Linked DNA regions of Mus musculus. The protein of the gene in region 1 interacts with the protein of each later gene in a pairwise test. Links are inferred from orthologs where the notes say so. Each region holds a gene or a part of one and is shown in the gene's direction. Other genes may lie near its edges.

The links.
Region 2: the proteins of Xiap (region 1) and Rfc5 interact in binary tests that used the Homo sapiens proteins (3 or more experiments, as listed by UniProt). The link is inferred for Mus musculus from reciprocal best matches to the Homo sapiens genes XIAP and RFC5.
Region 3: the proteins of Xiap (region 1) and Nek6 interact in binary tests that used the Homo sapiens proteins (3 or more experiments, as listed by UniProt). The two-hybrid records come from large-scale screens. The link is inferred for Mus musculus from reciprocal best matches to the Homo sapiens genes XIAP and NEK6.
Region 4: the proteins of Xiap (region 1) and Ercc3 interact in binary tests that used the Homo sapiens proteins (3 or more experiments, as listed by UniProt). The two-hybrid records come from large-scale screens. The link is inferred for Mus musculus from reciprocal best matches to the Homo sapiens genes XIAP and ERCC3.
Region 5: the proteins of Xiap (region 1) and Ube2w interact in a two-hybrid assay, tested with the Homo sapiens proteins (2 studies listed by BioGRID and IntAct). The link is inferred for Mus musculus from reciprocal best matches to the Homo sapiens genes XIAP and UBE2W.

Annotation. Positions count from the first base shown.
Region 1 is NC_000086.7:42,065,586-42,071,498, forward strand, and holds the start of Xiap (E3 ubiquitin-protein ligase XIAP), read left to right. Parts: upstream 1-2,250; 5' UTR 2,251-2,471; intron 2,472-2,565; exon of another isoform or gene 2,566-2,771; coding exon of another isoform or gene 2,772-2,897; exon of another isoform or gene 2,898-3,287; intron 3,288-5,656; exon of another isoform or gene 5,657-5,913.
Region 2 is NC_000071.6:117,377,665-117,383,136, reverse strand, and holds the end of Rfc5 (replication factor C subunit 5), read left to right. Parts: intron 1-276; coding exon 277-358; intron 359-671; coding exon 672-801; intron 802-1,223; coding exon 1,224-1,301; intron 1,302-2,315; coding exon 2,316-2,370; intron 2,371-3,230; coding exon 3,231-3,327; 3' UTR 3,328-3,992; downstream 3,993-5,472. UniProt on the Homo sapiens protein: Subunit of the replication factor C (RFC) complex which acts during elongation of primed DNA templates by DNA polymerases delta and epsilon, and is necessary for ATP-dependent loading of proliferating cell nuclear antigen (PCNA) onto primed DNA.
Region 3 is NC_000068.7:38,509,808-38,515,778, forward strand, and holds the start of Nek6 (serine/threonine-protein kinase Nek6), read left to right. Parts: upstream 1-1,889; 5' UTR 1,890-1,986; intron 1,987-2,068; exon of another isoform or gene 2,069-2,172; intron 2,173-4,770; exon of another isoform or gene 4,771-4,851; intron 4,852-4,925; exon of another isoform or gene 4,926-4,951; coding exon of another isoform or gene 4,952-5,057; intron 5,058-5,971. UniProt on the Homo sapiens protein: Protein kinase which plays an important role in mitotic cell cycle progression. Required for chromosome segregation at metaphase-anaphase transition, robust mitotic spindle formation and cytokinesis.
Region 4 is NC_000084.6:32,237,922-32,243,842, forward strand, and holds the start of Ercc3 (general transcription and DNA repair factor IIH helicase subunit XPB), read left to right. Parts: upstream 1-2,405; 5' UTR 2,406-2,472; coding exon 2,473-2,500; intron 2,501-2,708; coding exon 2,709-2,914; intron 2,915-5,042; coding exon 5,043-5,279; intron 5,280-5,921. UniProt on the Homo sapiens protein: ATP-dependent 3'-5' DNA helicase/translocase. Binds dsDNA rather than ssDNA, unzipping it in a translocase rather than classical helicase activity. Component of the general transcription and DNA repair factor IIH (TFIIH) core complex.
Region 5 is NC_000067.6:16,615,456-16,621,599, reverse strand, and holds the start of Ube2w (ubiquitin-conjugating enzyme E2 W), read left to right. Parts: upstream 1-2,348; coding exon 2,349-2,363; intron 2,364-6,144. UniProt on the Homo sapiens protein: Accepts ubiquitin from the E1 complex and catalyzes its covalent attachment to other proteins.

The DNA of each region.
Region 1 (5,913 bases):
ACTTTTCCAGATGCTTCTGGTTGAAGTCTCCACTAAAATCCTTCTCCTTAACCATACACACTGTAGTCATGTCCTCCTCTTCATTCACTTACAATGGTTAAAACCAAATGTCTAAAACAGTAAATTTACATATATTTCACAATAAAAAACTGTGTTAGCTGGTTGGGTGTAGTGGCTTAATTAAGCTCATCTCAGCACTCAGCATGTTAAGGCAGAGGATTGCCATGAATTTGAGCCCAGCTTGGAATATGTAGCCAGACAAGACTACACATAACACATCAAGACCTTATCTCACCAAACGTGGTGGAACAATCCCAATTCTCAGGCAAGACGAACAGGAATTAAAGGTCATCCTAGGCTACATAGCAAGTTTGCAGCCAGCCTAGGATACATGAGGTCTTGATTCAAAAAATCCAAGCCAAACAGTACAAGCTAGGTGACATAGCTGGAGCTTGCAATCCTAGCAGTCAGAGACTGCTACATAACGTTCATTGATTTCAGGCTGACCTGGTCTACACAATGACTTCTGAGATAGCCTGGGCTATTTAGTGAGACCCAGATTCAAAACAAACAAACAAACAAACAAAACAAACTAAAACAAAACAAAAAGCCCAAAACTACAATAATAAAGATTCTATAATGACACCTTAAGTTTAAAGAATAAAAGATTACAGAGACTGAGAAAATATAATCTTCAGGTAAGGAAATTAGTTTCAATAAATTACTAGAGGGCAGGCAAACTGGTAAGAGCTGGGGCAGGGTAAATAGTTCCCTTAGAAGACACCATAGCACTGTGTTGGAGGAGAGTGAACTTAATTAAGGCTAAGATGATTAACTCTTATCCTGAAGTCAAAATGGAAAGATTTAACTCAGCCTCAGGCAAGCTAGATGGGGGTGGGGGGGAGGCGGAGCAAGCCTAAGAACAGAGAAATCAGACTGGGCAATGGTCAGAAAGACCTAGGGTTGAGTCATACTGTTCAGCTCCTACAGAGACAGGTACAAGCGACTTCAGCCTCTTCTAAATGAGTTGATGGTGGACAATATCAAGACAAATGAGGGTAGCCTGGGACTTTTTTTCTTTTCTTTTTTTCCCAGACAGGGTCCCTTGCATCTCCGACTGGCCTCAAACTTCCTATTGAGGATGGCCTTGAACTTCTGACCCTTCTGTTGATAAAGATGGAGCTTTGTTGGTTTGCTTATTTAAGAGTGCTGGACAGGTGAGATCAGTATTTGCTTGCAGTTGTTTTGTTGGCAGTGGTGGGGTTTGAATTCAACCTTGTATGTGCTAGACAAGTGATCTACTACTGAGCCTCATTCCCAGCCCTCGCTTGGAATTACCTTCATTGTAATAAGTCAGATGCAATTTTCAGAGCTGTAAGAGTACACCCCAGGGGGCCTGGGACACAGATGGCTTAGTGGGGAAGGGCATCACCACCAAATCTGAGGACATTAGTTCTTCCCTAGAACCCACATGCTGGGAGAGAACAGACTCAAGTTGCCCTCTGACCTCATACAGTAAGACAATGTAATAATTTTTAAAAAAGATTGCATTAGAAGGAATATTACATTGGCAAAAGTTGAAGAACCAAATACATTTCTTTGTCTTCTCTTCCAAGTTCCTTTTCATCAAGGACAGCATTATTTAACCAGGCAGATGGTGCCCATGGTCTTCTCCTTTTAAATATACCCAATCCATCTTAGTACACTAGCCATTAAGAGTCAAAGTTCCTGAAACCTAAGTATAGGTTTATCTGACAACCCTACAAGCATATAGCATGATCACCATTTTGTATAATCTTCTCTTGTGTCTTTTCCATCTTTGTTCTATTATTTTTCTTTGTTCTTCACAAATTTCTCTCACCCTCTTTTTGTCTCCCTGTCTCGTCATTCCTTCTAGCTTCCTCTATTTGGAAACAACCGATTCTCTAATCTCAGTTTACTTTTTTGTCGGGTGGGTGATACTGGGATAATTATTTTCTCCGGGGCTCAGTTTCCTCTGTAGGGTGGAATTTAATAGAGGTGTTCTGCCTTCCATGGTTTTCAAAATAACATTGAGGAATATGTTATATACCTAGCAGAGTCCCTGGTATCCTGTGAGAGCTCAATGTACTGTGCCCTTTTCCCCTTGGTCTTTAATCTTCTTACCTGTATTCCCCTACTCCTCACCCTAGAGTCCAGGTAAAAGCTGGGGGGCGGTGGGGAGGGGGGAGAGAAAAAGTCCTGGATGCTAAAAGAGGAAATGCTTGAGTCGGGGGCGGGGACTGAGAAGTGACCTGTGCGCATGTGCAGCCGCTGGGTCAGGCTCTGGCTTGGAGCTGGGGAGGCGGGGGTTGGGGGGTGGGGGGGGGGTTGGGCTGCATAATGAGGACTGGGGTTTTTCTCGATGTCCCCTTCCGGCTCTGGGAGGCGGCGGGACCTTGGCGGTCCCCCGAGCGGGCGCGACGCTAATCGAGGGCCGCTCGGCCAGAGAGGTAGGCTGGAAGATGGCGGAGTGGGAAAGAAGGAGGGGCTCTGCCGGGCGGGAGCGGAGCTCCCGGGGGAGGGGATGGGGGTGGCGGTGGGAAGGACATGGCCTGAGGCCAGTGGCTGGGCGAGCCCGGGAAGCTGGCGGGCTGCACCGGTTGAGTTTTTTTTTTTTTTAAAAGTCCTGACGTGGATGCACTTGGTTCCGGTCTTCGAGTTTTATCCGATGGGACTGTCCTGCCTGGGAAGGCCGAGGGAGGAAGGAAGGGAGGGAGACAGACATAGTGACTTCCGTTTCCTTCTCCTAGGCCGGGGCCCGCCGCCCAGCAGAGTTGTGTTTTCCTGATCCGGGCTCGGGCCGCCCCTCCTCCGGGACCCTCCCCTCGGGAACCCGTCGCCCGCGGCGCTTAGTTAGGACTGGAGTGCTTGGCGCGGTGGGTACAGCTCTTGTGGGTTTCCCGCCCTCCCTTCCTCTCCCTCTGCTCCCCTCCCCTCCCTTCCCCTCCCCTCTCTTCCCTCTCCTCTCCTCTGCTCTGCTCTTCCCTCCCTCCTCCTCCCTCCTCCCGCGTTCCTCCTCCTCCCCCCTCCTTCCTTCTCCCCCCCTTCTCCTCCCTCCCTCCTTTTCCTTCCCTCCATTTCTTCCCCCTCCCTTCCGCCTGGGCTAGCTCTGCCTAGTTGGGCGGGAAGGCCGCGCCCGCCCGCCCGCGGGGAATGCTGGACTGGGCTCCCTATCCAGGCTCCCCGGGATTGCCCCTGGAAGCCGTGGGTAGGGGGGCTGGCTTCAAGCCTTCGGGTCAGCCTCCTTAAACTTCGTGACACCTAAGGTAAATCTAGTTAAAATAATTAAAAAAAAAAAAAAGATTTGATCAACCTCCCTGCCCCCCCCCCCAGTTCGATACCTTGTATGGGGCAGGGTGGTGTGTTTCTGGCAAGGGCATGTGAACCCTAAAGAATGAGGGCCAAAGAGCTTCCAGAGGAGGAAGTAGCTGGTAATTTTTGCCTCTTTGTCACCTTGGTCACTTCCCCAGCATATTTCTGAGAGAAAAAAATGTCACTTATGACTTTCAGTTCCATTACTTTAACTCCGTTGAACTCCACAGTTTACTTGAGTTGTGGGGTGTTTTTCTTTTAAGCAGGGGCGGGAGGGAGGAAGGGAGTGGTGATTGCTGAAACTAAGCAGTGGCTCACTCCATCTCCAAAAAGGAGAACATAAGCCTTGGGGAAGACTAAACCTATCAGTTTGTAATAATCTACAACTTTACCTTCAAGTACAATTATGGCACTACTTCTGACATCCTAGCTATACCTTGATAGTGAATGAATCCTAGAAATGTCTTTTTTTTTAAAGACTGGAAAGTTCTACAGTGTTTCTTCATTCTTCTCATTTTCTCCTTAATAGGATTTTTTTTTTTTTTTTGTAGCCAGTTTCAAGAGAACACTGTTAAGAGCCGGCCATCTTAGAATTATAGCATTTTTGAGCTGGGAAGGATCTCAGCTCAACTCTTTTGTTTTACAAAGCAGAAACTAAGGCTCAGGGTTTCATGATTTGTGTAAGGTTACCATGCTAGCCATGCTAGTTAGATTAGAATTCAGATTTTCTAGCTCCCTGGCCACCCCACTCCTGTTGCTTCAATATAACCTCTAAGCAAATATCTAAGTATATTCTATTTAACATTTCTGTCATTTTCAGTGTAGTAAACATGTATGTGAAACTTGAGTCAGGGATTGTTTTCCCCATAACTTAAGAATGGAAAACATTTTAGGTCAGATAGATTTCTACCTACAGACACAGAAACATAAGCTTATATAGCTGTTTGGATTGGGTCACATGGATCCATGAAAGAGATAAAAAAAAATGGTAACCCTGGTTACTTCTGAAGAAGACGGATGGAAAACTAAACTTTGCTTTTCTCCTGTGCCTTACATGTTTGAATATTATAAACAAGTTTGATCTTATTCTAGAAAGTTTTAAAGCTCACATAGATGTATATCAACATAAGTATTTGCAATTGGTATTTATGAACATCCACTTATCAGTAATTTTTATTGTAAAATCCAGTATGGCTTATTTCGTCTTCACAGAACAGGTCTGTATTTATGTTTCTCTTTTGGCTTTTACCTACTGTTCTGTATTCATGAGAAATGCTAAAAAGCTTTGGCTTTATCTTTAAAGAATAAGCTTCCTGATTATCAAATAGTGTAGAAACTATGAAATTCAGATATCAAATTTGACATACAGATAAATCTAACTTACAGAATCATTTTGGATTAAACTTATTTTTAAAAGGTTATGCCTGTAAAGATTGTATTGGTGTATGTAGTACAGTAAATACTTGCTTACCATGTATAGGGCTCTGGGCTTGTTTGTTTGTTTTGTTGAGCATATCAAAGAAAATGTTAAAATTTGATCAAAATACATGATGTAATTTTGAAACTAACATAACCCACTATTTTGTACAATGAATATACACTAATAGGAGAGAGAAAGGGGAAAGAAAGCTAGGTGTGGTGGCTTTCACCTGTAATCCCAACAACACTGTGGAGTCAGTGCAGGAGAATTGCAAATTCAAGTCAGCCTGGGCTGTGTAGTGAGATCCTGCCTCAAAAACAAAGCTGGGTTGGACAGATGACTGTTTATATGGCCTGGCATGGCCTGGCTGCTCTTGCACAGGACCCCGGTTCTAGTCCCAGCATTCAAACGCTATCACAGCCTTCTGCAACTCCAGTCCCAGAGGATTTAATGCTGCTTTTGGCTTCCATGAGCACTGCCTGCATGTGATACACATATATGCATGCAGGCAAAAGACCCAGATGCATAAAATAATAAAACAGAGTGAGGGTTCACATTTGTAACCTGTGCGTTTGGTAAGAAGAGGATCAAGAGTTCAAAGCTAGCTTGGGCACCATCGGAACCTGTACAAGCGGAATCAGAATTAATACAACTTTTATATTATGTGGCATTGTTTGGTCCTTAAGTGTTTGCTTTTTGTGCATGTTATCACTCCTCATGCATGTTATACAGTTTTTAAAATGGTAAATGTTTTGGGTTGGAGGTAAAGGCCTCAAAGGCTTTGGGGGTGTACACAGTCCAGCATAGTATACACTAGGCTCTGAAGTCAGTATCTAGAACTAAAGGGGAAAAAAGTAAGACTGGATACGTCCCCACTGTTGAGTTCTGTTCTCTTCTTTACAGATATGCTAATGAAGACTCGGGTGAAAAAAATGAATTGCTTAGTTATATTGCAGACTTTGGACTGGTGTCTTCATCCTTGTCTAGAATTCCTGCAGTTAGTTGTATTGCTGTGGTAGGGGGTCTAAAGATTCTACATACAGTGATACACATTTGGAATTTTTGTACTTGGCAAATTGAGGCAGGAAGCTAACGTTTTCCAGAACGGCCTGGGCTGCTTTTGAGAGCTCCGATCTCAGAGAAGAAGCACTAAAAGATGA
Region 2 (5,472 bases), on another chromosome or scaffold:
TGAGATGCCCAGCTATATCCTCTTTCTTCCCAGAAATGTCTCTCGGCAGCCACTTCCTTAAAGCCTTGGTCCATAGTAAAGCTCTGGCTGGGGTCTGGCCACTCATGTGACACATGTTCCTAAGCACAAGTAGCTTAGATGTGCAGGAGAGTGCTGTCCCCTCCATTTTGGTGCTTTCCTTCCTTGAAGCTTCATCATTCAGGGCTCACGTGGTGGGTGAAGTCTGTGCTCTTGCAGAGGGGGCTTTAGTTAACTCTTCTGCCTGTTTCCTTTTAGTGTGGATATAAGTGAAGATGGAATGAAGGCCCTTGTCACTCTGTCCAGTGGGGACATGCGAAGGGCTTTGAACATCCTTCAGGTACAGTCACACTGCAGGCACTTAAACCATTGCTTCAAAATAGTTTTACAGGAAAGCCAGCCAGCTAGTCCACACGTTCATTCAGACTCCTAGTAAGATTCCCCTTGCCTGCACTAGCTCCCTGCCTGTGTGTTCTGATGGGAAGGCTCTGCGCTGCTCTAAGCTATGGGAGGGCGCCACATGCTGTAGTGTTCACAGCAGAGGGCAGCCCTTCCAGTGCACAGAGTTCAAGATTCCTTCCCACTGTGCTTGGCCTGTGCCTTGTCACTGCGGCAGGGCAGCTGCTGACAGCCCCTGGGCCCTCCTCCTGCAGAGTACCAATATGGCCTTTGGGAAGGTGACAGAGGAGACTGTCTACACCTGCACCGGACACCCACTCAAGACGGACATTGCCAATATACTGGACTGGATGCTCAATCAGGACTTCACCACTGCCTACAAAAGTATCCTTTTGGGCAACTGCTGCTAGGTTTAGGGCTCAGGGTGGCCAGAAGCCCAGGCTGCAGCCAGCACCTATACCTCCCAGGTGACAGGTGTCATCCCCAGGCAGAGTGCCCTTCTCCTCCTCAATGGCTGTCCGGAGCTTCCCCGTTCACAGTCTAAGCGGACTCACTGCCTTGTTGTGCAGTGAGATGAGAAGCTACAGGCGGCTGTGTTACCCTCTGAGCTGTCTGCTCTGCCAAGGCGGGGCTATCCCTTTTAGAAAAGCATGTTGAGGATCACATGGGGCGAGTTAGAATGGGGCCTGCTGCTACTGTCCTGGGATGAAGAGCCCAACTGCCAGGTCGCCACTAGGGGCTGGTGTGGAAGCCTCCCTGCAGCAGGTTCTGGAATGCTTCCCCTCCCCTTAGCTGCTCCTCCCCAGACATCATGGAGCTGAAGACTCTGAAGGGCTTGGCGCTGCATGACATCCTGACAGAGGTTCACTTGTTTGTACACAGAGGTAACTATGTGGAGCCGGGAGGAGGCACAGCTTTGGGATAGCTACAGAGTGTGACATCTTTGCCTCAGAGCAGAAACGGGAAGACAGTGACTGACCCTTAATCTTGAGCAGTTCTGAATGGCTCTGTCCAAAATCTTTGTAATATCTGTAACTGATAGGGTTAGTGGAAATGAGCCCGTGGAGGCTGTACTGTACATTTCATTCTCATTACAAGCTTCCCACACCAGGGATTGAACCCAGGGCCTTGCGCATGGGAGACATGTGGTCTACCACTGGGCTGTCTCCACTGAGCTTATTTCTGGGGTCCGTACCCAGGACTGATGCATCCTAGACATTCAGCAGACTCCAGCCTCTAAGTCACATTCTAAGATGCATCCCACAAAGGGGAAAAGATGTGTTCCTGCAAACTCGACAGTCTCCAGGAAGCTGCCTTTAAGTTCCTGCTTCCTGCTTCATTTCAGGGCTCAGTCTCAGCATAGGCAGAACCTGAGAATCACCCGAGATGATTCAGAGTGGGGAGGGGATGCCAGCCTTCGGAAGCTTTTGTCTCCCAGCCGCCACCTCCAAATGGAGAGGCTCTCAGGTCCCCAGTACTGTGAGCCTGTGTGGAATCTGTTGCTTAAGTTTGTCCTCAAAACTGGGTAACATGAGCTTTCTGGTTAGTGTATAGCTGTCACCCACTGTGGACAATGCTGACTTATTCATGTTCTATGACCACTGGGGATGGGGCCATGTATGTTTGTGGGGTCTTTATTGGTGGCATAGGAGATGGAACACTTCCTGAGCTGCCCCCAGCACGTGTGTGATAAAGAGCAGTGGCGCCCACACCACGATCAGCTCATCCGTCTCATGATCTGTATGCATGGGTCTGAGGGATGCTTGGGCTTGTCAGAAGTCGTGTGTGTGTGTGTGTGTGTGTGTGTGTGTGTGTGTATGTGTGTGTATGTGTGTGTGTGTGTGCGGCCCGCCCGCCCGCAAGGTAATCTCACTCATTTGATTCTGTTTTTCCCTCAGTTGACTTTCCATCTTCAGTTCGGATACACTTATTGACCAAAATGGCAGACATCGAGTGAGTGTGTTCCCAGTTTCAGTTCTTTGGCTGTCCCCTCTTCTTTGGCTGTCCCCTCTCCTGTTGTAAGCTCTTTAGTTTCAGCTTGTGTGCCATTCACACAAGTAGTGGGGTAGTGCCAACTGCACTGTGGAGCAGGCTGTGTGAGGATGATGAGCGCAGAGCGGTCCCTGCCTGAGCTGAGCTCCTGGCTCTCCTCACACCGGGCATGCAGGTCGTCTGGAGATGGCCAGCTACTCCACTTATTAAGGCAATGTGACATACAGGAGCCCAGTGGAGAAAAACAAACAGACTCAATTTTTCACTTTGCCCAGCTCAGTAAACACTGTCATTACTCCCCAGCGATTCTGGCAGCTGTCATTAAGTGGACAGCACACTGGGCTCCAACCAAATACTAGTATCACAAGCTCCAATAGGCTGTCACTTGCTCATGCAGGCAAAGTAGGTCATTTCCTATCACTGTGTTGGGAGTGACAAGTGACAAGATGAGCTGCTGGTGTCCTGCTTTACTGCCCTTCAGTGAACCTGCAGCTCTCTGCTGCAGTGCCACAGCCGAGGGGAATCTGCAGAGTTCCTTGTAGCAGTTCCTAAGCCTCCATCCTGTGCACCCTGCCCTGTCTGTCTGTAGAGGGCCGAGTGCAACTCAGAACCTGCTGGTGCTGGGTTTCTAATCCGGCCTCGGCAGCTTCAACCAAGAGAATGTTGGGGAGAAGAACGTTGGAGGACACAGACGGCAGTGCTAACCAGGGTGGGTCTGTCCGCTCCAGTGCCTCCATGGCAGGCCATAGCAGCTCCCACATTCTCACCCTTATAGGCAGGGCCTGGGTGCTTTATACTCAACTTGGGTTTGTTATTCCCAGGTACAGACTTTCTGTTGGCACCAGTGAGAAGATACAGCTGAGCTCCCTCATCGCCGCTTTTCAAGTCACCAGAGACCTGATAGTTGCAGAGGCCTAGAAGCTCTGAGGCCTGGCCCCTGGGTGACTGGAGGACAGAGGACATGCTGCCCTGGGCCACTGGATAAACCCAGTCACAGAAGTCTCTCTGCAGGCATTTAGGTACTGCTCTCTGTGGCTGTTTGGAGCAGGGATGGACAGGGCAACTTTAATCCATAATGATCGACACTGCTTGTCTTTATAGGGGAAACTACCCTGTCCCGTGGTGAGGGCTGCTTCAAAGTCTTTACTATCAGTCACTGGGATGACAAATTGGCTGCAGCTGAGTTGCGTCCTGTCTTCCAACTCTAAATGGGTGCTAGTAGGTTTCTAATCAAATATTTTATTACAAAATTTCAAAATCAGTCTTTTGCCCAAAGTGCTGACATGCCTATAACCTCAGGACCCAGGAGGCTGAGGCAGAATTGCCAGGCAGCTGCAGGTCAGCCTAGTGAGACAGACTCTGTCTCAGGAACAATGCAGTGGCCTTTCCCACTTTTAGAAGGCTTGCCAGCAGGTTCCAAATTCTATTGTGAAAATAGGAAAGAAACTACAACAGTTTGCCTTCAGACTGCACACCTCACTTGTTGGGGGGAATGGGGCACTGCAGACGTTCCTGCCGCACTGCTGGGCTGTGTTTTTACCAAGTCCTTCACAGGAAGAATAAAGCGTGTGTTCAGAGTTTAACCGTGCTGGGCTGTCTACCTGCATGTCTGTGTCACACTGTGTCACAGGGAACTCCTTAGAGACTATTCCTTCTAGGCCTTCAGACTGTTGTTACCTTGGGACCAGACTTCCCTTGGGCCGGATGAGGGGCACTGGAGGGCACCCGGTGCACCATGGGTAAAATGCATCTCAGGGAGGTGCTTTCAGTGTGTGCTGTCAAAGGGAGAAACTGACTTTCTTGTCCATGGAGAGCTTGCTCCCAAGTTTCAAGCTGAGTGAAGGCAGCATCCCAGCCATGTGGAAGAGTTGCCACCAGTGTCCTGCTTTCCATTTTAAAAAAAATTTTTCCCCTGAGACAGGGTTTCTCTGTAGCCCTGGTTGTCCTGGAACTCACTCTGTAGACCAGGCTGGCCTCAAACCCAGAAATCCGCCTGCCTCTGCCTCCCAAGTGCTGGGATTAAAGGCGTGCGCCATCACTGCCCAGCTACTGCACTCCTTTTATGTTTGGTTTAAACGTTTTGTTTTGCTTCTTAATGAGAGAGAGAAAAAAAGAACAGAGACAGGTTTTTTTTTTCTTTTTTTCTCTTTTCTCCCTTCAATGAAAGCCTCATTTTGCATTGTTCTTCAAATAGAGGAGACTCCTCTATGCATACACTGTACAATGTTAACACTGCCTCCATAAAGCATCAATTAAGAAAGGCCAAAGAATAAGATGTTGAGTTTCTTTTAAAATAATTTAAAATATATTAACTTTCTAAGGCAGATTTTGTGTGAGGCGTCTTGAATAGGTAGCTGCTACCGCTGTCAAAGAACGGTGCTTGGAAGGGGCTGTCTGTTTTGGGCAGTTGAACTGGAGGGTACATCCCATGAGGTCAAGCAGCAGAGACAAACACATGTGACAGACAGCACAAGCCAGTGATGTCAGCACTGACTCCACACGACTTAGACTTGGCTCCACAACTGGGCCACTTAAGAACTCTGGTTCTTCGAGACAATTGAGAAAACACAGTTGTACCTTACTATCTGCTGAGAAAATACAAATAAATATGCTGATAAATGGCCATCTGACCGTCATGCACCGAGGAACGCCTCCTCGTATGATCTGAATACTCGCTTGTTACTTCCTACACATGCAACCACTGTTTACAGGAAACAAAAGCCGGCACTAGTGTATGGTGAGGAGCTCAGCCCAGTCCACGCGCAGCTGAGCAGGGAACCAAACACCAGAGTTCCTCTGACCACAACGGAGGAACTTCAAACCATGCAGCCGCTGGCTGGAAATAGGCAGCAGAAATGCCCTACGTGGCAGGTACTTCCCAGTTAAGGGAGTGTGGCTTGGCCGCCACCAGAGAGGCTCTGGAGCCCGCTTGCCTTTATTACCCCAGCAACATCCACAACTGCACTTGGCTTCAACACAACTAGACTGACGAAGGCTGCTCACCACGGATGAAGACGAGGTAAGGCCGGCACCACAGAAGTGGGGTCACGCAGACCTACTTGC
Region 3 (5,971 bases), on another chromosome or scaffold:
AGCAAGGCTGGGGAAAGTCCTTTCTAGTGATCTGACGCTGCTCCTTAGCTGTTCTGCCAGGACAGTTTTTACAGCAGAGAACCCAGTCAGAACACAGCAGGCCCCTAACCATACCCTCTCCTCCAAAGACTTCTGCTCCTCAGTAGAGACCTCCACTCTTCATTGCCTCTTAGAAAGCAGCCCTGGTCCTCCTGCCTCCGGCCTGCTTAACCTTATTTATCCTACTGTCTGCTTCCTGGAGAAACTCAGATTTCCTAGAGTGGGCGTTAAGCTTTCATTTTTTAAAACAACAGTTATTCGTGTGTGCCCTCACATGCCACAATCCACAGTGTATGTGTGCACATTAGAGATAACTTGTTGGTGCCAGTTCCCTCCTCTCAGAAGCAGGGACCAGCCTGGCTGCTCTGGGCTGGTGGCCATGCCTTTCTTACTTAGAACAAGGTTGCCTAGCAATAAGCTGCTGAGACCAGAAATCTGTGTCATCTGCTTCCAGTTCAACCACTCACCACCTGGGGGACTTTGCTCACAGGCCTCATTAAAGCCATCTAAGAAATGGGCACATGGGTGGCATGATGCCACCCTCACAATGGCTGAACATCATGAGGCAGGCAGGGGGAGTAATATAGGTTGTGGGCCTGATTACTGTGGACTCAAGTAGACTAGTTAACTGAATACTCAGCAGGTTGCTATCCCGTGCCCAGACATGTACAGCAGATTAATGGACAGATGGCAGGTGCTTGGGCACACAGACAGTCTAGAACACTCAGAAGCAGCAATACCTGTCCCAGCTACGAGCATCCCTTCCTGAGGGGAAGTGGGAGTCACCTTAATTGCTCCCCAGAGAAGCTTGGACATCCTAGTGGGGTTGTTAAGTATGCATAGATGAAGGCAGTTGTTGTTGTTGTTGTTTTGTTTTTTGTTTTTAACATACAACACTTGGTGTGAATTTGGAAGACATGGGGAGGTTAAAGACAATTTGCTGGAGTTCTTTTGTTCCATTGTGTGGGTCTGGAGGATCAAACTCAGGTCATTCCCCCCACCTCCACCCCCACCCCCACCCCCAGGCTCCTGGGTATTTGGCTGGCCCACTTACTCCTAAAAACCTTCTGCACACTGATGCTTGGCTGGCCTGGAGTTCCCAGGAAGGCAGTATCCCCAGGAGATACTGGCACTTTGAGGGCAGGGACTTGGATTTATCCTAGGTGCCTACTTCTGGAACTGTACTGGGCACTATTTGTACACTGTACTATTGTACACACTGATATATATATATATATATATATATATATATATATACATATATACATATATACATATATACATATATATATATATATATATATATATATATATATATATATATATATATATATATATATATATAATATGAATGACAACATCTCATGTAGCCCAGGCTGGCTTGGAATTTGCTATATAGCCAAGAATGAATGAATTTCAGACATTTTTGCCTCAGCCTTCCTAATTCAGAGATTACAGGTGCCCAATTTCCCTAGTGCTGAGATTAGGAAAGCATGCTATCAACTGAACTTCACCTCCTGCTGCACTCTGTGAATGGGTCAATTTCGGTCCTGCGAGGGCTGTGAGAGGAGCAATGTCAGCTGATGAGGAATCCATGGGTGTGGGGAAGGGTCCACGAATTGGTTACCCAGCGAATCTGCATCTTATAAAGTCTAGAGCCCGCGCAGAGGGGTTCAGTGCCCAGGGTTTGGAGTCTGAGGCTCAGTCTTCCAACCTGAGTTGGACGATCAGGCACCCAGGCTGGGAGCGCGCCCCCGGCGCCCCCTAGCCTGCGTGGCGGCCGCGCGCACGGGCGCAGGGGGCGGCGCGGCCCCGCGGCGGGGAGGGGCGGGCGCGCGGGCGCGCGCAGAAGCGGCGGCTGAACCAAGCGGACTAGCTGCGGCCGCAGCGCCGCCAACTCGCGTGTGACCCGCGCTCCGCCCGCCGCCGAGAGAGCCGCCAGCGCCGGTGAGTGGCCTGGGACCAGCGAGGGGCGCGGGCCAGGGCGTGGGACTGTCACCCGAGGCGTTGTGGGCGCGCGCGCGTGCCCGGGGAGTCGGCGGGGACGCCCGCAGGAGGCCGAGGTGTCCGCGGCGGGCTCCATCCGCCCAGCTGCGCGGGAGTGCGTGCGTGTGCACATCAGGGGCCCGGGCTGTGAGTTTGGGGTGGACCAGTGCGGGTGGACGGGCTCGGCTTCGGTTTATCCGTTTATCGAGTGTTTACCGTGGATGCCAAGGAGTACGTGTGCCCACGTGTCTGAACGTTCCCGAGTGAGTGTGTGCACACGTGCACGGGCAAAAGTGTACAAATTCCATACGAGAGTGTGTTTAGGATCCAGACTGTGCACTCCACACTGCAGGCCGGTGTGTGTGTGATGTGCCGGCTGACCCTGTCCAGAGAGGGTGCTGGGCCGGATTCTGTGAGTCCGCAGATCCCCAGGTTCTGACTTTGGTTGGAAGCCTCTTAGCCCGGCCTTGGCAGAACTCTGCATGGCCACGCAGGCTGAGGAGGGGGCTGCGCTGAACTTGAATTGAGGTTTTCTAAATATGTCTTAGTTCCCTGGCTTTGTTCGTGGCTGTCTCTAGCTAGGCCAGATTTGGACTCTGTTCCCCATACCTAGGGGTTAGGCCCTAGGGAGACCCAGGGCCCCAGATACTTGTCCTCTCTGCCTGCTCCTCTAAGTTAATCATATTTCCCTGATTTAACCGAGCCCCAGAGGGCCATAACAAATGGGTGACAGCATGCTTGGGACACATCCTCTAAGGGCTGTCCGTGAAGTTTTGATTGACAGTTTGTGCATGTGTGTTTGAAAGTTTTAACTGCGTTAGAGCAAACTTTAGAAAGTTTATGTACAAAGTTTCACTCCACTTGCAAAATGCAGGGTGACTTTTTGAGGGGAAAATGTCCTCACAGGAGCCTGGTGTGTGTAAAAGGGCATGTTAAAAACCCTATTGCTAATGGGAGAAGAATTTCATTGAATGGGTGCCTGACTCCCAACAGGAGAAACTTAACCAGTGAACTTTGGACATCGTCGTCCAGAAGACAAAACCTGGAAGGAAACAAAAAAAGACCCATGTTCATTTTTTTTTTCCTCTTTGTCCCGAAAACTGGAGAAGAAAAAATATCCCCACCTTCTGGACGTGTTGAAACTGTTCCCCTCCCCCACCGGGGCCAGGCTCTCCCTGGATCCCCCACCCCCAAATAAAATATGCCTGTGGGGAGCGGAGGAGTGAGTCACTCTCTGGCAGAGGGCCCCACGGCAAACATTTGGGAAGGTTCTTGCTTAACTTCCCAGAAGAAAAGGCCCGGGATTTAAAATGGTCCCTGTGGTTGTGAGCCTCCGAGCCCCGTCTGCTTCAGAGATGACTACAAAAGTCATTTGCTGTCTTTTAAAAAGCCCAAGTCTCAGACTTAAGCATTGTCCAGGATTTAGAGCTGTTTAGGTTTCCAGAAATGGAGATGCTGGCTTTCCCAGGTGGCATATGGTGTGGGAAAGGAAGAGGGTAAGCAGCTGAATCGTTTACAGAGTACCTACTGTGTGCTGAGAGGTTCTTGGGGTCCTTAACTCTCCTGGATTCCACTCTGTTTTTGGGTTTGTGACCAAGGCATCTGACTCATAGAGAAATCAAACCTGTGTCCCAGGCCACCAGGGAAAGGGTAGTAGCCGAAGTCTGAGCCACCTGCCTGCCTTCTAGGCCTTCCTCCTTCATTGGGCCCAGGACTTGACATTTGACTTCCTAAGCTGTACAGCCTGGGCACTGAGGACTTGAACATTCCTGTCCTCATTAGGGCTCACCATAAGTCAGAGGTTATTGTCTCTATTATACGAGGAAACAGACACTAGCAGAGATGAACTGGCTGGCATAGTTTGGGAAGGTAGCACCACGACCCCGGTCCCCCATGATTAAGGATGCACCCTGTGCTGGGCTTGGTGCACAAAGTTTGAAGTTATTTTTCCTTTTCCCCACCAACACTGTTAGATGAGCACTGTTACAGTGTCCATTCTGTAGATGAAAAAACTGGGACACAGAGAGGCTATAGAATAGCGGTAGACCCAGAATTTGAACCCAGACTTGTCTGGACAGAGTCTATAGTCTCCCCATGAACTTGTAAAGTCCAGGTAAGTTGATAGATGGCAAAGTCAGGATTTAAATTCGTAGCTCTGATTCTAGGACGGGCTGGCTACCTTTATTGTGTTTTGTTCTTCTGGCCTGTTGTAAAGCCCAGCGATTTATGACAGGCCATGTTTTGCAGACCAGCCTGTTTCTAGAATTTGGGGCTAGGTCTTCCCAAAGACTGCTGAGCCACCAGAGTGAAGGTACTTTCCAAGTGCCAAGGATGGTCAAACCACTGTCAAAAGTAGAATAATACAATATTTCTCTCCTCTTTTCAGGTTGGACCAAGGAGGGAGGTGAGGGTGGAGGACTTGGTGAATCATTCAAGATTAGATATGGGTTACAACCAGGTGTGGTGGCTCACGCCCATAATTGTGGCTGAGGCAGGAGGATTGCTTTGAGTTCTGGGCCAGCCTGGATTTACATAGCAATTACCACATGTCCCAGGATTACACACCAAGATCCCATTTAAATAAATAAATTGATTAAATAAACACATAGATATAGGTTGGAGACAAAGCTGGACATGGCCCCAGGAAGAGCCCAGCCCCTGACCTTGTAGGGAGATGGAGAGTGATCTCAGATCCTTACTCTCCGTTCTGAATCTCTGACACAATCACTTCTGCAAAGACTCCTTGTCACCTGTCATTCAGAACTGGGTCCACCAGTTCACTTCCTCATTTACTTCCGTTTCTGGTGTTTCAGAAGAGGACTGTGTGTAAGTAAGGACCTGCGTGGTTGGGGCTCTGCCTGCCCAGCACTAACAGGAAAAGGTTGCTCTCTCCCTTGCAGGAGTGTCGTTTGCAGAGTGCTTTGCGATGCGATGCCTAAATGTAAGGTGTGAAGTAATAGATGGTACAGGGAGGCGCAGCCACGGTTCTGGCATTGATAGATTCCTCCCCATCTGGCCTGTGACTTGCGGAGGTAAAAATAGGCCTTGTTCTATGTTTTTATTTATCCAATTTAATTTTTGCTGATGTCATCATAGGCAGCAAAGTGCATATACTTGGGAGTTTGCTGATCCTTAGGACTGGGGCTCTGGAGCAGGGGGATTGTGGAGGGGCCATTGAGGGTGGTCTGGGTTTCTGTAAAGGGTTCTGAAGTTTTTGAGTGGATGATCTCCTAAGTTCTTAGCTTAGTTCTGTCACCCAGGTAAATCTTCTGTCTGTCCTTCCTTCCCCCTTCCTTCCTTCCTTCCTTCCTTCCTTCCTTCCTTCCTTCCTTTCTTCCTTCTTTCCTCCCTCCTCTTTCTTTTCTTTCTTTCTTTTTTTTTTTTTTAAGCTTTCTCCATTCCTGTCTGAATTTGGTGACACACTCATAATCCATCTTCAGGATAAACTTGTAGCCTTCTCAGACCCAAGGCCCAGACAGAAGTCATATTTGGACACATCCGTTAGCAGTCTAATATCCTGTGCCATTAATCCTGGGAACTTGAACTTGAGCATGTGATCTGGCAGTGTGACATCTGTCACTCCAAGAGGACTTGCTGTGTGACTACAGCCCCACACATACTGGGGACTCCAGTTCTGGATTTTAACCCCCCACAGGCAACTTCTCACGTGGTCTGGCAGCTGAGGACCTGCTCTCCTAGGCAGGTTCTTGGACTGTGCTGGTTAGAAGCTCAACACCCCCTAAAACCCTTGTTCACCACCCCTGGAGCTGTGCCCTGAGGGGGCCGTCAGATTGCATGTGGGGGCCACTGGATTCATTTAGTTCCAAGGGCTTTACCCACAGGGAACTGTTCTTTCTCTTAGACTTCTATGTGCTGGTGACCTCATAGAAAAGAAAAAGGGGGCTTTGTGTAGGAATTCCAGCGAGTGTGAAGGAATGCCGACAGG
Region 4 (5,921 bases), on another chromosome or scaffold:
GGTATGATCTGGGAAGTCTCCAGAGTGTGAGAACCTGCCTAGCCCATACAACCCAAAGCTGGGTGTTGCCAGAAGAGGTTCCTCAAGTGCAAAGTGGAGGTACAAAGAAGGGGCCACTCATAGACACTAGATCCCTTTTCAATACAGACTCAGTAGCAATATAAACAAAGGAAAGTGAGTTCACAAATCCAGACAGCTGACTTTCACTCCTCCATGCTTGCTTGCTTCATGCATATGTACACCCACTGATATAAGAGGGTGATGTCGGTTGTCTTATCGTTTTCCTCATTTATTTTGGTGTGTGTCCACGTGCCTTTTTCATTTGTTCTCCAACTATATTGAGGCAGGATTTCTCACTTGAATCCAGAGCCCAGTGATTTGGCTTGCTCCAGGGACCTTGCGGTTTTTGTTTTTTAATTCTTGTCAAGACTTACTTATGTGAGTTGAGTGCTTTGCTGAATGCATGTCCCCCATGTGTGACTGATGCCTGTAAAGGTCAGAAGAAATCGTTGGATCCCATAGAACTGAATTTGTTTGTGGGAGCTGGGAAGCCAAGCAGCCACTTCTTGAAGAGCAACGGGTGCTCTTAGGTACTGAGCTATCGCTCTGGCCCCAGCCCAGCCCAGCCCTGGCTTTAAACTCTTAGTTCTTTCTCACTGAGCCATATCCCCAGCTCCACTTCTCCTTACTAGTTTTGCAACAGGATTTCTTAAGTCTAAAGCTCATGGCTTAGACTGGCTGGTCAGTGAGCCTCAAGGATTCTTCTCTGCCCCTCAGTGCTGGGATCACAGCTGTGTAATGCCATGCCTGCTTGGCTTGTGTGGGCTCTAGGGACCCAAAATTAAGTCTTCATGTTTGTGCAGCAAGTACATTAACCCACTAAGTTATCTTCCCAGCTCTTAAAAAAAATCCAATTTCATATTGCTCATCTGCTTTTTTTTGTTAGCGGAAAGGGTGTCGTCATAACATTTTCATACATATGGCATACTTGTTATTGTCTTCCCTTCTGCCTCTTTTCTGGTCCCTTTCTCTTACCCTTCTAATTTCTTATCTAAGTTTTGCTGTTTAAATCATGCCACCTGGGACATTTTATTATAGAACAGCAAGCAGGCTTTGTAACTGCCAGTTACATCTGATTTGCTCCAAATATGAACTCTGCCTAAGGTACATCATTTTATGAGTTGCTGAAACCAAAAATCTTGGGTGTTAACTCTTTCTTCCTCCCCAAATCCCGTATTATCCCAGTTGGCAAATCCTATCCATTTCTCATTAAAATAAACACAGAATGAAACTATCTTCATTTCTTTTACTTAGACCTATTCCAAGATCACTCTACTACTGTTTTTGGTTTTGGTTTTTTTTTTTTGAAAACGTGTAACATTATTTCTTGATTTCAGGTGATGCAATTAGACATGATCTACCACACTTGGTTTATGTAGTTCTGTGGCTAGAACCTGCTAGATATGAGGGGAAAAATTGTTTTGCACATGTACACACACACCCCCGCAGCCAGCTGTCCAGAATTTGAAGGCTCAAAGCAGTGGACTCTCTTTCCTTTGCCTTCTTTTAAAATTGGACAACAGCAGGGAGGGGCGTGGTGGTGCACGCCTTTTACCCCAGCCCTCGAGAGGCAGAGGCAGGCAGATCTCAAGTTCGAGGTCAGCCTGATCTACAGAACGAGATACAGAACAGCCGGGACTATACAGAGAAACCCTGTCTCAGAAAAGAAAACACAAACAAACAAAACACCCACAACAAACCAAAGATCTGGAAGGCTGTGAGGTTTGACCCTAGCCAATGGGGAAAAGTCACTAACAAATTAAAAACTACATCAACTGCCTGTTCTGATGTAGTGTTAGTCCCTTTGGGTTCTGCTACACTCTCTTCCAAAAAGAATTGCCTTGCTGAGGTACTCTTCATGCTATCCTTGGTGAGACACCAAGATTATTCTTTGGTTCCGACATAGGCAAAAATTCTACCAAATGAGCCACCTGCCCATTTTTATTTACGTCAGAACGATGTGTATTTCCCACCTCTCTCGTTCGGAATTTCGTTTCCAGAAACCCGGCGTGGTGGAACACGCCTGTAATCCCAGCTCCCGGGAGCCTGAGGGAACCACCCAGGTCCGACCTTCCTTAGCGATCTAAGCAGTGGCCTCAAAAACCAAAACAAAGCACTCCGTAGGTGGAAGCAGATCTCCGTCCCGCCCGATCTATAGGGCAAATAAGCTCAAGGCTCCTAGAAGTACGTAAGGCTCAAAACAAATCGTAGAGCGGAAAGTAAACACTCCAGGCAAGCGCAGCTCGCCTCCGGTCGGCCCTGTGGTTCCGCTCTTCCGGTTTAAGACTTCAGAGGCGGGACTTCCGACCGTCTGGTGCTGTATTTCCGGTATGTACCGGAAGTTCATTAGCAAGTAACTCCTGCGGAGAGGAGGTGGTGCGGTGTGCCGGCCTGCCTGCATCTAGAGCTGTTATGGGCAAAAGAGATCGAGTGGACCGCGGTAAGCACTACTTGTAACTGTCATTGTCGTGGGGTTTTCTCTGGCCTGTTGTGTCCGGGAGATGCGGAACTTAGCCGGGTGGGAGGCGTTTGCCGGACGCCGGTATGCGGGTGGCGCTGGTTTAGGAGTTCTTGCCAGAAGTCTCCTTGGGTGGTGAAAAAGGAACCCTAGAATCCTGCTGGGCTCACTTCTGTGTCTTCGGTCGCAGACAAAAAGAAATCCAAGAAGAGGCAGTATGAAGAGGAAGAGGAAGACGAAGACGACATTCCTGGGAACGAGTCTCAGGAGGCGGTGCCCTCCGCCGCTGGGAAACAGGTGGACGAGTCCAGCACCAAAGTGGATGAGTATGGAGCAAAGGACTACAGACAGCAGATGCCACTAAAGGGTGACCATACCTCCAGGCCCCTCTGGGTGGTAAGCATGGCCAAAAAGCCTGCGCGGCAGCTAAATCTTGGACATTCTTACACCTCCAAAATTCAAACGTGAGAAATGCTGCTCTTTCTGAAGCAGCCGGGAGAGACGGCTGTCATGGGGCACACTGGAGTAGCTGGTGTGATCTGGTGTTCTCCACTTCACCCCAGCCCCCCATATGATGACAAGCCAGATAACTCAGGAGGTAAAGGCTCTTGCTGTCATAGGAGGAGGAGAGGCCCGACTCTGGCAAGTCACTTTAGAGCGGTGACATGCATGCACTCACATACACGCACATACCCCACATACAGTCAGTAAATGACATTTATCTGTTTGGGTGGTATATGTGCATACCCTGTGCAGAGAGACGTGCAGGGATTGTTTACAGAGCCCAGAGACTGATGTGAGATGCTTTTCCCAGTCACTCTTCACATATCTGCCCAGCTCCCTGTTTTGGCTAAACTTACTGGCCAGCGATGCCCCCCACCTCCCACCCCAACTTAATCTGCCTGCCCGCCCACCCACCTATCTCCAGCCATCACAGCTCTGTGGTTGTAGGCATGCATTCCTGGTTTTATACTTAAGTGCTGGAGATCGCAACTGAGGTCCTCATGCGAGCGAGCACTTTATACACCAAGGTAGCTCCCCAGCCACTAAATAGTTGTTTTAGATGACAATTGATTTACACTTCTTAAAAAAGATTTTTAACATTTTATATGTATGTGTGTGTGTATACTTGTTTCCAGAGGAGGCCCGAAGAGGGCGTAAGATCCCCCAAGCCTGGAATGACAGGCTGTTATGAGCTGTCTGATGTGGGTGCTGGAAATGGAACCTGTGTGTTCTGCAGGAGCAGCCAGTGCTCTTAACCACTGATCCATCTCTTAGGTTCTTTTCAAATTGATGGTAGATAATGTTTTGGTAGCTAAGTTTCCTTGGCTTAAAATACATCATGATCTGTACTCAATTTGCATTCTAGCCAAAAGGCCTTTTGAGAATAGTATGTTGGAAGATTTCCATATATGGAACATTGGGAACCTTTTCTGCCTACTCTTCTCTAATTATAGGAGCAGGGTCCCTGCAGTTTCCTGAAGGATTGATTGCAAGAATATCCTTCCCATTGGACACTCACCCTTCTTGATAGTGATGTGACAGTCTAGTGGTGTAAGAGTCACCTTATTCACCTGACATAATTGTTGTCTGGAGGCTTACTGCGCCTGTCTGCTAACCTAGGCCTAGTCCTGGAAGCTTCTAGTCTCTGTGTAATCTAACCTAGGCCTGGAATGTTTTCCCTCCTCTGAGACTTGAAGCTGAATAAGCTCGCCCTTTCTAGTTCTTTGTGAGCTCTGACTGGCCAGTTTAACTCAGCTGCTCTGGCTCAGACTCCTCTTCAAGCTGACTGCTTCAATCTGGCTTCTCTCTTGGCTTTTCCTGAATTGCACTGCTTGGCTTCATATTAACTTTAGGAATCTCTTCTAATCTTCTGGCTCCTTCTCATTCTCTGACTTGTTCTGTTCTCACTGTATCTAGCTTGCACTCTCTCTATAACTGTCCCAGTAAAACTGCCTCCTTCTCCCTCTTTGTGCTGCTCCACTCTCAACTCTACTGTACTGCTCTCCATGAACTCCGCTGTATGCTGTACTGGACTCTCTCCTCCTGTACTGCCTGTCTCTCCCTTAAGTAGCTTCCCTTTCCTCTCTCACCTTTGAGAGTTGGGCGTATCCTTTCCTATCAAGTCTCTCTGATTTGTCACTTTTTCTGCCACTCAGTTAAACATCACTTTCAAACATGGGTACTTCCTTCTGCAAACTAACTTTACCTCTATTGTTTGGGATTAAAGGTGTGAACTAAAGGCATGCCTGTATTCTGGCCAGAGGGATTAAAGGTGTGTGCTGAAGGCTGAGCCATACAACTAGGAGAAGGTTTTTTCTTTTCTTTTCTTTTCTTTTCTTTTCTTTTCTTTTCTTTTCTTTTCTTTCCTTTCCTTTCCTTTCCTTTCCTTTCCTTTCCTTTCCTTTTTTTTTTTTTAGTAAATAACACAGTCTCAGGTTCGCAGTGTGATCAGAAATCCTGTGACATAGTCTCTGCAGCTCATTGATATTCTTGCCTGTTGTGTTCCCTTGATGCCTTTTAGGCTCCTGATGGCCACATTTTCTTGGAAGCCTTCTCTCCAGTTTACAAATATGCCCAAGACTTCCTGGTGGCAATTGCAGAGCCGGTGTGCCGGCCTACTCATGTACATGAATACAAGCTAACCGCCTACTCCCTCTATGCAGCGGTCAGTGTTGGGCTGCAAACCAGTGACATTACTGAGTACCTCAGAAAGCTCAGTAAGACTGGAGTTCCTGATGGAATTATCCAGTTTATTAAGGTGAGTTACTAGCAACTCTTGTGCTCAGGTGCGTACTTACTATATGTTGTCATTGAAATGTCTGATTTGTGTTTCCTTTGATAGCAAAATAGCTTCGTGCCTAGCTGCTGCCACTTTAGATCCAGCCATGGTTCTGGCTGAGATCATGTGTTTTGTGGGCTGCTCCAAGCCATGGGAGTAGAAGTTCAGGTCCACTATGGCCAGGGTTACTTGAGAATCCAGCTCTGGATAGATGGAACTATAGCCTGCATGTACATATCAGAATCCTAACCCCAAATACCTGTGTGTTAGTAAGACTAAATGAGGTCATAAATGTCTCCCCATTCAGAAGGTGCTTGTCTTTATTAGGAATTATACAGTTGTCATAAGTCCCTTCTTTATGGGACTGTGTAGAGAGAAGGTGACTCTCTTCTAGCCAGGAGACCTTACCACAGCCTGAATTAGCTGGTCCTGGTCCATTGATCCTGAGTAGTTAGAACTCTGAGAACATAAGCTTTTGTTGTGGAGTTTTTTTGGTGGTTAGCTGTTACAGGAAGTGAGCTCCATGTAAGGTAAATACTTAAGATCCATGGTAAATTAAGTGTATTAGGGTAAGACAAAACTTGAAATGTTGACCTGAAGAGGGTTTCATGGGAACAGCAG
Region 5 (6,144 bases), on another chromosome or scaffold:
CACCTGCCTCTGTTACCACCACCCACCTAAAGAATAATTCCACTAAAGAACAATTCATCATATTCATTCTACTTTTACTTGGCTCCAGTTGTCCCAAAGATGTATTTTACAATTCGTTTGAATTGCTAAGTGGAATTAACATTACATTTTGTGCTACTTATGTTTTATCAAAAATACTGCTTTTTAAAAGATTTTCTAACTTTTACTTCATCATGGCTGAGCCTTTTTCTAACATGGTTGTGTCAATTCCTTCCCTATTGTTGGGGATTCACTTCCACTTCCCCTTTTCGTAGTATCCCACTTTAAGGGGCCATATCCACTAATAAGCCATGTTCTGGGAAAAAAATGTGAGTATCTCCATCAAATAACGGGCAGTCAAGAGCTTTAGGAACACTTATTCTCACTGAAAATAGCCTCTACATCACTCCTTGCTCCTGAGTATGTCGGCGAACAGTCTGTTATATATTTTTGCCTTTTGTTTTGCTTTCCGTACTCAGAGATCAAATCCAGGATCTCCTACATGTTAACCACAGGTTTTCCCAGTGAACTATACACCCCAGACCCTATTATGTATTAATTAAAGAATAAAGACGATAGGTAGTTATGAGCTGCTTAGAATTTCCTAGGATGTGACTTTGCCTCCCGTGAAGATCCCTTGGACACCTGTGAGGTGGAAACCTGACATTAGTTCTACTGTAAGCAACACCAAGGTGTAATTGCTTTTCTTCCTTCTGAGTACCTTGTCTAGTAGGCCATTTACTTTGATGAGGTCATAATGCCATGTTTGTAGAGTCTCCTTTGTCATTTACACCTTTGAGAAGAATCAACTTTTAAAACAACATGAACATTAGCTGGTACATTACAGCCTGAGATCACAGGGACAAAGATCTCTGGAAGGCCTGGTGGAGACTCTTTCCTGTAAGCGTACCTCATCACTGGGCTATGTGGGCACTTTGTTCCATGTTGTGATGGTAACGACATACCTGAACTGATAGCGGATATGCTTCTGGTTGAGTCCTGTACTCCAAGTCATGCAAACCCCATGGAAAAGTTCCTCCATGGTGAAGAGAAACCGTCTTGAATATTACACCACAGAAAAACTGGCAGATTTAGACATCTTTTCCTCTCTTGAACACATTTCCTTACGGATGTTCTCAGAGGAACATCGTGCTCTAGCTTAAGTGTGAGAGTGATAACCTACATCACCATTATATTTATATTTTAGAGAAATGTCTAAAAATGAAGCCAAGTCAATAAAAATAAAGATTTAAACTTTCATCCGGGTAAAGTAAAAGCCTTCTACTCAACATGCCATCCTCTCTGATTCCTTTAGAGACAGGACATGAGGTGCAAGCTTTTGGCTTCCATTTTTCGTTTGGTATTTAAGTAAACGACATCTTTGGTTCCGGAGGAGCTTTAAAAATGTGACTTCTGATAAATGCTGGCAGAACTGGTGCATTCCTAGAATAAATTCTGTATGCTCAGCGATTTCTACTCAAGCTCACTCATAGGTCGTCTGATCATGCAACTGCCCACCACAGAATAGGGTGAAGAGAAATCTAGGCATGGCAGAAGGTTTAAGTATTAAGTATTAAGTATTAAATTACGTAAACTATATTCATTATATTGAGATTTCACGGCTAGAGTCAAATTGTTAATCAAAAGTAAGACTGATGTAACAACGACTCTTATGGTATACCTGGACTTTACAATTTAGAGGGTTAGGGAACTAGAAAATTGCACACAAAAGGGAACTCCATTATTCACCCTCCTTCCCTTTCCAGCACGTTTCAAATCCAATTGTTCTTGCTTTTAAGATCACTGCTCTCAGTTTTCATTCTGTCCTATAGGGAAACCTGTGACTCTCTGCCCCTCAAAGTAGAAGCTTCCTAGGTCTGCAAATACCAGAAAGCATCTCCAGGCGAAGTTGTATCTGCCTCAGGAGCGAAAACACGGTAGGTGTAAAAAAGACATATGAAGGGGGTGGGCTGTAAATCTTACACTTGTAGCTGGAAAAACAAAATGAGATCCCCTCCCTGCCAAATGCCCGGACAGCATTGTGACCTCGGCATAACGCTTCAGTCCGACCTGGAGCAGCGCCTCCGCCAGCACTGAGGGTGGGCCCGCGTATAAATTGGCTGGGATGCAAGGTACCTAGGGAGCCCGGCCTGGCCCCGCCCCGCCCCGCCCCGGGCACCCGCGCGCTAGCCAATCGGACACGCGGGCCCCTTCCCATCGGCGACTCCACCCCCGTGCCCGGGATGTTGGGCCCCCGCGGCGTGACGCGAGCACGGCGGCTCCGCCCCCTGCGTCTCGGGCCTCGCTGGCCTTGGGGGGATGGTTTCATCATGGCGTCAATGCAGGTGAGCGGAGCTGCTGCAGCGGGGAGGGCGAGGGGGCCATCGAGACGAGGTGAGCGTCTGCGCGGGGTCGGCGTCCGAGACCTCTGGGCCTGGCTCCGGGCGACCTTCCCTGACCTCGGGGCGTCGGGGGATCGCCTGGCGGCGAGCCGAGCGGGGGTGTCGGCCGGTGGCCGCGGACAGTAGCGGCCGCGAAGTTGTGGCATAAAGGCGGCTTAGGGGGAAGAAAGGGCGAAGTTCGTCGTGCGCTTCGCGGTGGGGGCTCCGCTCCGCGCCCCTACGCGAGGATGCCTGCCGCTCGGCTCCCTGGCCACCGCCGGGATGCTTTTCCCCTCGCGCTCCCCAGCGGGGTGGAAACAGCTGTGCCCGCCGCCGTCACCCGCGGTCGGGGCGGCCGGAGACCGGCAGAGCCCCTCGCCGAGGACGGCCGCCTGCCCACGGCGCTCCGCGGCCTCTGCCCGGCCTCCCACGCGCAGCCTCGGATCGCCGGACTCATGCTCGTTCTTCTCTGATCTTCATCCGGTGCCCGGTGGGTGCCTCCTTCTATCAGCCCGCACTCTGGGCATTCCCTGGCAGCCCACGTCTCTTCTTCGAAGCCGCCCTTCGTCCCTGTCCCCAGCGTCCTGTGCTACCACAACGTGCGAGCTCGTGGGCCTGCTCCTCGGCCTCGATAGAAACTCGCCCTCTTAAATTTTTTTTTCTTGCGATGCCCCACCCTTGCGGGATTGGTAAGGCCGTGGCTCCTTTGCCTTTCTTTCCCAGACCTTTAAAACCTTAGTTTGGTAGGAGACGCCTGTTAACCTGTGCTCTGTCAGACTTGAAGGTGTTTTTTGTAGCTTCCAACTTAATGTATTCCCCCCCCCCCTTGCAAATCCAATAAAAGAAAAAATTTTCAGGCAAAGATGGCAACCACAATTGTAGTTTCTAGAGATTGCATTATCTATAGCCGGCATTTAATTTGCAGATAGGGCTAGCGGTGTTAAAGCACATAGGAAGAGAGAGTAGAACTCTTGTAGCGTGTCAGCGGAACGCTTTTTGGAGTTTTAACATCATCCTCGAGTAACATCCGCATTTTCCTTAGAATTTTTGGTTTTTGTTTCTAGAAGAATAAGCAAGATCTCGTTGTTGGCGCTTCTCTGCTAGCAATGGTTTGCATTCTTACGCATTTCCCTCCTTCCCCTGTATCTTCCTTCAATCAGCTTTCCTTATGGTATTCTTTTTGCATTTGCTTGTACTTTTGGCCTTTCCTGCAGTAGCATTCTTAGGTGAAGAGGTGTCACGAAATGGTGCAGTGAAACAAGAACAATTTCAGGAAACGTTATACTTTACTAGTCTCCCCAGAGACGTTAGAGAAGTTTCATCATTTGAGGCCAAAAAAGGAACTGTGGAACATCAGTTGACAGCAGATGGGCTATATGATTGCTTTAAGATTTTTATCTGTATTAAGACATTATTTGTTACTAACACTTGACGGTGATCTGTCTTAAGATACAGGCATTATTTAAGACTAAAAATGAAGATTAAAATCCACACTGGGATTGTATCTGGCATGAGAGCTGGTTAGCTTTTATACTTAGTTTTTGGAAAAGGCAGATTTGTTTGTAAGAGATTGCTATTTTTGGAATTTACTTTGTCTTCAGCAGTGGGGGAAAGTGCTTTTTATGCCTGTTTCTATGCCTCAGGCAGTGCTGTGGAAGAGTAGCAGCGTCTTTCTTTTGTTGGATTAGAGTGGGAACGGATCCTTTCTGTTCTAAAGTTAAATCTTGACCTTTTATATGTATCTCTTTTAAAGTATCTGATCATTTTTCCTGGAAATAGTAGCATTTTGACACAGATTTATTTCTTATTTCTTAATTGTGTATGTTATCTCTGGGTGGGTATGTGGGTATGAAAGTACCTGTGTAGGCCACACCTGCTCTGGATCTGAGTTACAGGTGCTTGCCAGGTATTGGCTATGGGTGCTGGGAATCAAACCAGGGTCTTCTCAAGAGTAGTTCTTTCTCTTAACTTCTGAACTGGCTCTCAGCTCAATAGCAGAATCACTCTTTGGTGTGGTTTTCATTTGGTATCTTTGCTCAAAGTTTATTTCCTGACCATCTTTACAGCAGAAGTTAACTCTTTTCAAAATAACTTAACATAACACTATAAGTGATCAAATGTGTTCATTAATTCATCTTACCCTAGGGGATATTGTTTTTGCTAAAGAAAAGGTTACTTAAGCTGCTGTATTTTAAAAACATGCATACATATGTAATGTGGGGTTTGATTACTTGGTAACAATGAAATAATTTTTATATATAGTAAAACCAAGTAAGGAAAGTCTTCACTTCTAACTAGAGAATGTGGACTTTGAGATTATAATTACCTTTATGTTTTTGTTTTGGCTTTTCTGGAACTAGACCAGGCTGACCCTAAACTCTCAGGTCCACTTGCCTCTGCCTCCTGAGTGCTGGATGAGATTAAAGGTGTGCGCCACTACTGCCCAGCTTGCTTTTATGTGTTTTATCTTCATTCATTGAAACCGGTTCTTGCTGGGTAGCCTATGCTTACCTCACATTTGCGCTCTTCCTGCCTGGGTCTCCTGAGTCCTGGGCTTGCAGGTTGTTCCACTGTGTCTGACTTTGCTGTCATGCATCCTGCCAGTGCTTCTCAACTTTCTTCCATTCACACTAAGTACAGTAAGATAGATGACGATGTTGGCGGCTGGAAGAGCCCAGCCCGGAAGCTGGCTAGGAAGGTGAGGGATACAGGGTTTTGTTCTCATGCCCATGTGCTGTGGGGAAGCTGCTGTTGCTAGATTCATCTGGGTACAGTTCAGTGGGATGCGTTTCACACCCTGATCCATCCTTTTCCATTTTGCCTCACCTATGCTTCCTACTAGTTCTTTTACAAGCAAAGTCAGAAATCACCAAGTGAGATAATATTTTAAGAATTCTTCCTTTAGAAAAAGCTTTTTTGGATATATTTTAGTTTTATGTGCATGGGCGTTTTGCCTGGCATGTATGTCTGTGTATGCCTGAAGGGGCCAGAAGATGGCTTTAGACCCACTGAAACTGGAGTCACCATGTGGGTGCTGGGGCCTCTGAAAGATCAACAAGCACTCTTAGTTGCTGATCCATCTCTCCAGCCCTAAGAATTCATTCTTAAAAGAATGATTTGCTAAACGGCAATACTTAAAATGGTAGACGATAAAGAAATAGACATAAACTTAATTTTGTTAATTCAGAAAATAGGTTTCAGTGCTAGTAGCACTTGGAAGATGAGTTTAAAACTTTCCTTATATACTGCAAGAGAATTGTTTTATTACTTTTTAAATGTGATTCTGAAATGTTTGTAAAGTTTAACAATACTGGTATATTAACTTTAGCCAAACCCTGAAATTGCATTTTTGGTTTTTTAACTGTATGTGTGTATGTATTTGTATTATATATATTTATTTTTCCATTTCTTATAGCTCATTTCATGTTATGAAACATGTAGTCTGACTTTCATACATATTTTCAAATTTAGTATTTAGCCATTTTGTTCAGACTCCTTTTAAACTAGAAGTTTTAAATTTTACCTGATCGAAGCTGGGCATGCTGATGCAAGCCTTTAATTCCTGCACTTAGGAGGCAGAGGCAGGAAAATCTCTGTGAACTAGGCCAGTTTGGTCTACATAGTAAGTTCTATGACAGCCAGGGCCACATATGAGGCCCTGTCTCAACTTTTTTTTTTTTTTTTTTTTTTTTTTTAACTTAATTGGGATAATAAGGTGGCTGAGTGAGTAAGGCGCCACTACTAA